2 linked regions of the Cricetulus griseus genome follow. The protein of the gene in region 2 binds, or shares a complex with, the protein of the main gene of each other region. Links are inferred from orthologs where the notes say so. Each region holds a gene or a part of one and is shown on either strand. Other genes may lie near its edges.

Region 1 (4,404 bases), about 1.1 Mb from region 2:
ACATACTGAGTTCCAAGTGCTACATAGTTAAACCCTACCTCAAAAACAAATAAACAAATAATAAATAAATAATAAAAATCATCTAATCATTCAAAGAAAAATCTCCAGGAGTTTAAAACTGGTCACACTCAGTGCCAGTTTAGAACCTACCAAAGATTCCAGGTGGTAATGAACTGCTAAGTTTCTAGTCTACAGACCAGACAGAAGAAATGAAGTCCAGTTATATCCTGTCTTCCCTAAGTAGCCACACACACACCATGGCTATCTTCAGTCTAGCCACACATGGCTGACCTTTAGCATTAATGGCAGTAAGGAATCCTTGCTTTCTCTCAGGTAGCAGAGATCCCACTGGAATGCAGTAAGACAGCCCCAGAAACTCCTCCAGCTGCCATTGCTGGTAGCACCTACAGCCAGGACGGGAGCTCCAGGCAGATCAAGTGGTCCTAAGGACTGAGGAGGAGTCACTGAGAGTCAAGCCACAGGTGGAGACCCTTGCTTGCAAAGAGCTGCTGGTGTCAGTATCCTTCATTGATCCACGCTCAAGCAATGACTATGTCATTGGTGGCAAATCTGTCATCATTCCAGGAACTGAATGATAGCAGTGAGCAAAACAGAGCCCAAAGCCCAGTAGTGCTAATATCCTAGTGGGAAAAGCAAAGAGACCCAAGTGAGCCAACAAGACATTGTGCTAGTGACTGGTGCTTTGAAGAGCTGAACACAGCTAGGAATCCAGGAAGGGAGGCGACGGTCACAGTAAATGCTACGGCAAACCCGTCAGCTAGATGCAGCAGGGCCATGGATCTAACCTTGGATTTCCTAAGCATGATGGACTCTAAGCCCTCATAAAGGAGGACTGGGATGGTAGAGACATTAAGGGCAGACAAGTTCCAGTGGTGTCAAGAGTCCACAACAGGCACCAGCTTTGCTGGTCAAACTATTCTTTTGCATTTCTTTAAAATAGTTAAAACGGGTGTGTGTGTGTGTGTGTGTGTGTGTGTGTGTGTGTGTGTGTGTGTGTGTGTGTGTGTGTGTGTGTGTGTGTGTGTGTGTGTATGTTAATCCCATCACTCGGGAGGGAGAGGGAGTCGGATCTCTGTGAGTTCAAGTCCTGCCTGGTCTACAAAGCAAGTTCCAGGACAGCCAGACCTACACTAAGAAACCCTGTCTTGAAAATTGGGGGTGGGGGTGGGGGGTAGGGAGTGAGGTAGTTGAAACCAACCAACCAACCAACAGGGTAGGAGTGGCGTAGGCATGGCTGGAGAAATGCTTAGTGTTTAAGTACACTTGTTCTTGCAGAGGATGAGGGTTAGATTCCCAGCATCCACATGGTGGATCACAACAGTTTGTAACTCCAGTTCAAAGGGATCTGATGCCTTCTGATCCCTGTCGGCACCAGGCACACACATGGCACACAGATATACATGTAAGCAAAACACACACATAAAATATAAAAAGAAAAAAAAGACAAAACCATACCAAGCAGCTTTAGACATGGAACAAATACAACTAGAGACTATTCTAGATGAAACTGACACAGTTTACAAAAGTATTAGTAACACCAACATTAATGTAAAATACTTACACTGACTTTGGCGTATATATGCCTGTAGTATAATTCTTTGTACAAAATTAAGAATACAGCATCTAAAAGACATAGCAAAAGGGTACTTCGTTAAACTACAAACCAACTGGTGTATCCTGCAGCCACAGCCTTCCAGTGGAAGGATAGAGGTAATCTAGAAGGTAAATTTTTTTTTTTTCGTTTTGTTTTTTGTTTTTCGAGACAGGGTTTCTCTGTGGCTTTGGAGGTTGTCCTGGAACTCACACTGTAGACCAGGCTGGCCTCGAACTCACAGAGATCTGCCTTCCTATGCCTCCCGAGTGCTGGGATTAAAGGCGTGCGCCACCACCGCCCATCGAAGTTAAACTTCTAAACCAGTGGCTCTCAACCTTCCTAATGCTGCAACCCTTTTATATAGTGTCTCATGTGGTGGTGACCCCCACCACAAAACTATTTCACTATTTCATAACTATAATTTTGCTGTTATGAACAGCAACATAAATATCTGTGTTTCCTGATGGTTTTACAGATGAATCCTGTGATATGGTTGTTTAACCCCTCCTTAAGGAATCTCCATCCATAGGTTGAGATATGCTGTTTTAAACTCTTAAGCTTTTGCCCCAAGAACCTATGCACCCACCAGAGTGGTAGTGTGCGCCTTTAGTCCCAGCACTCAAGAGGCTGAGGCAAGGAGATGTCCGTGAGTTTGAGGTCAGTCTGTTCTACACAGTGAATTCCAGGACAGCCTGGGCTATACACAGTGAGTTCCTGCCTCAACAGAAAGAAGAATGTATACACCCAGAGAAAATTGTGTTCCATTCTACTGTTAATGTCCTAATCACCTGTCCCTTCTCTTCCTCTCTGAGGCAGGGTCTCACCATGTTATCAGTGGCCTTAAAAGGATCCCCATCACACAGAAAAGGAAAGTGAGAGGTGAGGGGCTAATAAGCCCAAACCAAAGTGACTCAATAGCCACCTCACCCCACCCCACCCCCAAAGAGGGAAAAGAAAACTCCTTATCTGGGAAAGCTCAAATTGTACAGCTTTCTCTTACCATGTAATTTTACTACAAACCTACATCTTAAGCTCTGGAGAACTAAAATGTTAAGTAAACACACAAACCAACCATGGTGGTGCGCACCTTTGATCCCAACACTCGGGAGTCAGAGGCAGGCAGATCTCTGTGAATTAGAGGCCAGCCTGGTCTACAGAGTGAGTTCCAGGACAGCCAGGGCTACACAGAAAAACCATGGCTGGAAAAACACAAAACAAACCAAAAATAAACAAACAAACAAAAACAGAAAAAGAAACACATATAAGTTCTGTGATCTTTCTGTTAATATCTGCTATCCAGCACCTGTGACACGCAGCATTTATACCTACCATTGCCAACTTGGGGTGCAATGGCTTCTGCCTCAGGCCATGGTGTATTCTTGAAGAATCTTTCAGTTAGTTTGGTCCAGCTGAAAGCCAAGCAAAAACAATTCACAACTAAAAAAGCAAGACTCAGGACCCAACCCTCAAATTCTATGTATAGGACTCAGAGACGTGGGAGATACCACAGAAACAGAGCCTGAGCCCCACTCCCTCCCCAAGCCTAAGACTTTCCTCAACCCAGATCTCCTCTATGGACCTTTAGCAATGTGGGAATAGAGTTCAACTCCCGCTCACTGATCCAACAGGTGTCTGGTCATTGGCGCACACACCCCATCCTCCCAGAACTTGCTTGAAGTATTTTCTGTCTTGTCCCTAGCTGACTCATCTTACATCTGGCATTCATTATTATCAGGGCATCTCCTCATCACTACTCTGGAGCTTGGTCTGCACTGTGAGGCTGAACAGTTCAGACATTAGGATCCGGGATCAGAGTGTGCGGTTCCGAACACAGCATATGTACAATGCTAGCTATGATTCATTTCTATGATGTTTCCTCTATTGTGAAAAGAGAAAAACCATAGAATTTGCACCATGGGATTACCAATACAGGCAAGTAGCAAACACACAAAAATACTCCAACACTGCTTGGCCTACACTGATAATATATGCTAATAGCTACTATTATCATTAGTAGTTATTGCAGTAATTTTTAAAAAGTGGTTTGAGAGAAAGATGACATGCTATACAGAGTTCATGCAGAGGGTTTTTTTTTATTAGGAAAAAAGGATGGTAAAGGGGGGAAAGGGGAGGGGGAGACTGACCTCTGGGGACAGAAGCAGAGGAGAGAGGAAAGAGATGCAGGAAGAGAGTGAGAGAGAGAAAGGATCAGATAGAGGGAGCGAAAGAAAGAAGGATGTGAGGTGGGCAGGACCCTTTTAAAAGAGAGCATAGTGAACAGGCACAGGTGGTGCTCTTAGGAGCAGTAGTTGAGGGGGTATCCTGTCAGAACTCCAAAGGTAGGCCAGTACAAATGCCTAAATACTAACAGCAATGACATTATTTTAGATTTGAACCTTGTTTGTTTCTGGGATACAAAGTTCAGCTAATTAACATGCCTCTAGTCCAGTGGTTCTCAATGCTTTTTGCAAACAGCTATCTCCAAAAAAACTGACATAATTTTTTTTTAACAGTAGCAAAATGGAAGTTACGAAGTAGCAATGTTAATAATTTAATGGCTGGGGTCACCACAACATGAGTTGTGTATTAAAGGGCTACAGCATTAGCAAGGTTGAGAATCACTGCTTGTTCGCAAGGGAGTCACAACAACATAGTGAAACAATCTCCAAAAACAAAAACCATAAGCCCTACACACACACACACACACACACACACACACACACACACACACACACGATTAAACATAGCTCATCTTGTAGGAGTTGTATCACCAGGCAATCCCACTCAGA
Region 2 (5,138 bases):
AGAAAATAGGTTCCTAGCACAGCTGTGTGATGTCTGACCTACTGTAAACAGAAATCTAAAGTCCTTCAAAACATCCTTGGAAAAGTTATTCTGTTAAAACCCAGTCACTGAATGGCCACTTGGGATTGGACAGAGGCCTGCAATTTCCTGTCTCATTGGTGTTTCCAAGACAGTTGCTAAGCAGCAGAAATTCTCACAGTAAGAGCTCCTCCAAGGCACTTTAGGCTGCCAGCCCGTGGCCTACCTGTGCGAATCTCATCCGGTTCCGCTGGTAGGCAGTCTTCTGTGTGCGCGCCGTGTCCACTAGCTGGAAGCTCGTCTCATCCTCCTCATGGAAATATGCATACTGACTTCCCCCACCAAACTGAGAGGAGTACTTGTCTGCAGGCAAAGGTGACAGTGTGTGCTAAGTGCTCCCTAAAGGCTACACATGGCAGTCTTGAGCCTTGCTCTCTCAAGCGTGGTTTTGGGACCTGCAGCACTTTTGGGGACCACAGCCAAGAGCTTGTGAGGTGTGCAGACTTACTGCCCCTGTCCAGACCTGACAGATGGGAACCTGTATTTAAACATGATCCCAGGTGATTCATACACACATTTAAGTTTTAAGAGCTTGAGTCTAAAGAACTTACCAAGAGAGCCCAAGCATCTCAAGTTAACCCACTTCACCTCTGCCTTGGACAATTAAGAATCTGGAGTGTACCACCATTGCCATCACAGGAGCCATGGACACTATCATCGACCATGATAAACTTTCTTTCTGACCTCATCCACCTTAACTTAGTATTCCCGAAGTTACTTCCAACCATCTAACTGGCACCAAGAAAAGCACTTTCTGCGCTCTGTTTCCAATGGTTGACCCGTAATTCTCCCTTTACTCTCTCTCTTCCTCTTCTGCATCTCTCCCCACCCCAATCTCTTAATGTGCAAAAAAAAGCACGTTCCTTTACCAGAACCTTAAAACCGGGGCAGCCCACTGACTGATGGCCTCAGGAAGTCCCAAGCAATAAATGCAAACGGCAGCACACTCAACATGTCTAGGAGTCTGGCTGTCACCCCTATAATAATTAACAATTTAACTTCTGGGACTATTTCCAAAACCAATATTAGGGCACACATTTAAAATATACCCCAATAACTATCATCAGCATTCCTTTTCAGTGTGGAGCTCACTGAACAAAGCAACAATCTTCCCAAGGCCTAAATGTGGATAGTTCACTGAAGAATACTTACTTGTGTACCTCTTGTCTTGGTACGTGGCCCCCGTCCAGTCTGCAACCTGTTAGGTGTGATGAAGACAAGAGGTCAGGTGAGCAGGCCTCTGCTGACTCAGAAACTCAAGATAGCAAGGGAGGCTGAGTGAACACGTCATCAGCTTCACCTCTGATGCTTCTGCATCAGCTACCCGCTCTGGCCTTTGGCTGGTGTCCCCAAAGGAAGCATAGCCACCAAGAGAGCAAAAAGGATGTGAGGAGCTGTGGAGTAGCTACCCCAGCTGAAGGGACCCAATACCTTCCCCAGCCGATCTCCTTTGCTGAAAGGCTGGTAGGGCATATCCCGAAACTGTTCAGGAACTGCACAGGGGCCCCAGCCGGAAGGGTTGTCCTGGATCACAGGAGTCATGAACTTCGCCATTGTCTAAAACCTTAAAACACAAGCATTGTGAACAGCTTTATAAGGAAAGGCCACTAAGTCCCAAACACTCCGTGATCCACTGAAGCTGCACCACAGAGGCACACACAAAGCGCAGAGCCCTGGGCTCTGGAGCAGCAGGGACAGCTTTCTTGTAAACCACTCTAAGAACACTTAAAACTCAGAACATTGTCGACACCAGCCACATTTTCTTGTGTCTCATTAATTCTAGGACTTGCTCTTTTTTGGTGACTATCTTTGAAATGAGGCCATGCCTTATGCTTGATGGCTGTCACATCTTGTCTTTTCTTTCTTAGAATAACATAAGACAGAGCTACCTCAGATTCATGAAGTATGATAAAAGTGAGATGAGTTCCCTCAAAAACACTCTCACCTGGGCACCCAATACCCAACGTCTCTAAGCCTAGACTAAGTCTTACCTTCTGACAATGTCCAGAGAGTTTAGTAATCTCTCCTCCTTGCTCCACCATAGGAAAGCTTAAGATATTTAGGTGACAGCAACAAGGAATAAACTTGGGACCTGCATCCCCAAATAAGAACTTATGCTAAGCTGTATGTAGGAAGAGAACATGGGGGAGCGTGTGGCCTTTGAACAGCTCACATGAAATAAGAGCCCCCAGCAAAGTATTGGAACTGTGCTGGATAGATAGGCACCACTGCTTCCTCAAACCATCATCTCTGAGAAAGTTGGCTCTCATAACTTAAGCAGTCCATCTGCCCATCATCTCAAAGGCAGTTTCCAAGGCTGTCTGCCTAAGCCTGGCCTTCTTTGGCTACATTGCAGTTAGGGACAGCCTGACGACCTGGGCCTTTAAGACATACTCACAATACCACCTCAAAAGCAACTGTAATTTTAGTTGTCACAAGTTCAAGATAGTCCAAGACTTGACATGCATCATCTCCCCGGATGGGCAGGGGTTTGGAGTCCTTTGGCTTCCGCACATGAGAACCAGAAGGTCACTGATAGGGGAAAACTAAAACGATGCGACAGCTGTACTAACCACAATACGGTGCGGATCACTGTGGACACTACAGACAAGAGCCACGAAGTCCTGGGCTCGGTTTCACACCAGGGTGGAGCACACTCCTCTCAGTCGCCCACTTCGGAGCAGAGACGGAAACTGTTCGAAGCCCCCGGAGGAGGACACTTCGTCCCCACGGCTCTGGGCTTAGCATCGGGTGAGGGATCCACACCGTGTGGGGTGTCCTGCACTAACAGGGTCGCGCCTGGGACCACCCAAGGCAGATTCCCGCCCCGCCCTGGGGCGACGACAGGAGAGGACGTAAAGGAAGGCTCTTCCGGGAGGCCCCCGAAGCCAGGCCTAGCCCAGGGTGGCTCGCGAGGTCCACAGGTCTCTGCAAAGCAAGCCGCTCACCTGCAGTGGGCTCCGCAGGCCCGGATGGCGAGAGATGGCACGGGTCAGAGACTGCGATATTCTCGATTCTCCGAGGAACCAAGACAGCAGGAAAGTTGCGCGCGCAAGAGCCGGCGCCGTAAACCGCGACCGGCGCTGTCGTAAACGGCGCTACCACTTCCTTTTTAGTCAGCGGAAAAACGTCGGGCCGTAAAGCGAAGACACAACCGGAAGTTTGTCACGGCCACTGGCTTAGTCCTCATTATTCTCTGAGGTGAGAGACAGGAGTGGGGCTGGTTACGTCAGCGGCATCCGCGGACGCCTCGAGCGATTCAGAACTGAAACGTGGCGGCGCGCGGTGCGAGGGAAGCTGGGGCGGGGAGCAGGAGTCGGCCCCGCGGTGTCCCACAATGCTTCGCGGCTGCCTCGGCCCCTTTGCCTCCCACAATGCCCCGCGGCTCTTGCTGGCTCCTGTCTGGCTTTGGTCGGGTTGAACCGCCCTCCGCTGGAGGTGTCCTCGCTCGTTCCCTGTGCCGGTTGTCTGCAGGGTGAGGGGTGGCGAGAGACCGTGGTCCGGGCTGCTAGAACTTCGCGATGGCCGCCAGGGCTCAAACCCTTGTTCCACAGATCTTAAGCCTCATTTTTCAACGGAGATTTCTGTTTGCTCATTGAAAGTAAGACAAAATAGGCCCGGCGGTGGTGGCGCACGCCTGTAATCGCAGCACACACGAGGCAGAGGCCAGCCTGGTCTACAGAGCGAGTTCCAGGACAGTCAGGGCTACACAGAGAAACCCTGCCTCAAAAAACCAAAATAAATAAATAAATAAATAAATAAATAAATAAATATTCTTTCGTTTCATGACTAGCCTATTTTAATTTCAGACACATCTTGAGTTCCATCTCCCGTCATAGCTTGGATCTATTCATACTCCTGGTGGGTTGCTCCTCAGCGTGGTCAAACGTCTTCCCACACAATTAGCACCTCCCTAGGGAAGCATAACATAAAGTAGACTAGCTTTCTGTGGCCTGACATCCCTGGCTGCCTTCTCGCTTCGATGCCTATTATTCTGTACAACCTCTGCTCTGGTCACCGTGGCCTGCTCTCATTTCCCTCTCAGCAGGTCCTACACTTGCTGTTCTTTCTGCCCTGAAGGTTGGGCCTACCACACCATATGCCTTTAAGAGTTGGCTCCTAGCCAGAAATGGCAGTGCATCCTGGGATCCCTCTAGTCTGAAATTGAGGCAGGAGGATGGATCATAATGCCAGACAGGAGCTGGTGAAGTTGGAGAAGGTTCTGAGAAAAAGGCACTGTCTTTGAAAACTGAGCCATCTTACACCAAAATGTTTAAAAAATTTTTGAAATAGGGTCTCACTAAATTGCCCAGGCTAACCTTGAACTCCCCGCACCTGAGAACCTGAGGCACAAGGATTGTTGCAAACCTGAAGCTAGCCTAGGCTCCATAGCAAGACCCCAAATCAATATAAAATTGAGATGTGTCATAAAATATAAGGAGACATGTATCTTTGCTGAACTTCCATCATATCGCTCCTGTTTTTGTGTTTTTTTTTTTTTTTTTTTTTTTTCTTTCCCTTTTTGCTGTGGATCCCAGAGGCCATCTGCTGCAGATTCTACTGTGTCAGAGTTTAATCATCTTTCCCCTGTTCAGGCCCAGATGTTCTGCTCTGTCCAGATGGAGGAGGATGTGGAAGTTCCTTCCTCATTCTCAGCTCAGCATGTGACTTCTCTCACAGTGCTCCAGACTCTGAGTCTGCTGTTTTGTGTCACTCTTGTGCAGTGGCATTGTCGTAGAGTGTGCCCAAGAAGTGTTTTGTGAACCTAAGACCTTTAGGACCTGCTTTTAGAGATAAAACAACAAAAAAGATTGCCCTAAGCACCTCACATTCTTCCCTGGGGGTGTGGTTCAGTTGGTAGAGAGCTTGCTTAGCATGCACAAGGCCCTGGGTTCAATCCCCAGCACTGTGTTAACCAGGTATGTAGGCATGTACCTGTAATCTCAGCACCTGGGGAAGCAGAGACAGGAGGATCAGATGATCAAGAACTCCAGAAACAAAACAAAAAGTCACTTTCAGCCTGAAGTTCAAGGCCAGTTTGGACTATATAAGACCTGTTC

What was found. Proteins that work in one complex are often made in the same cells at the same time.
Region 1: Eif3d (region 2) and Eif3l share a complex: the UniProt entries of both Homo sapiens proteins name them as parts of the eukaryotic translation initiation factor 3 (eIF-3) complex. The link is inferred for Cricetulus griseus from reciprocal best matches to the Homo sapiens genes EIF3D and EIF3L.

What each region holds. Positions count from the first base shown.
Region 1 is NC_048595.1:376,190,061-376,194,464, reverse strand, and holds part of Eif3l (eukaryotic translation initiation factor 3 subunit L), read right to left. Parts: intron 3,025-4,404; coding exon 2,945-3,024; intron 1,645-2,944; coding exon 1,583-1,644; intron 1-1,582. UniProt on the Homo sapiens protein: Component of the eukaryotic translation initiation factor 3 (eIF-3) complex, which is required for several steps in the initiation of protein synthesis.
Region 2 is NC_048595.1:375,067,114-375,072,251, forward strand, and holds the start of Eif3d (eukaryotic translation initiation factor 3 subunit D), read right to left. Parts: upstream 3,182-5,138; 5' UTR 3,027-3,181; intron 2,911-3,026; exon of another isoform or gene 2,652-2,910; intron 1,643-2,651; 5' UTR 1,633-1,642; coding exon 1,510-1,632; intron 1,277-1,509; coding exon 1,231-1,276; intron 382-1,230; coding exon 245-381; intron 1-244. UniProt on the Homo sapiens protein: mRNA cap-binding component of the eukaryotic translation initiation factor 3 (eIF-3) complex, a complex required for several steps in the initiation of protein synthesis of a specialized repertoire of mRNAs.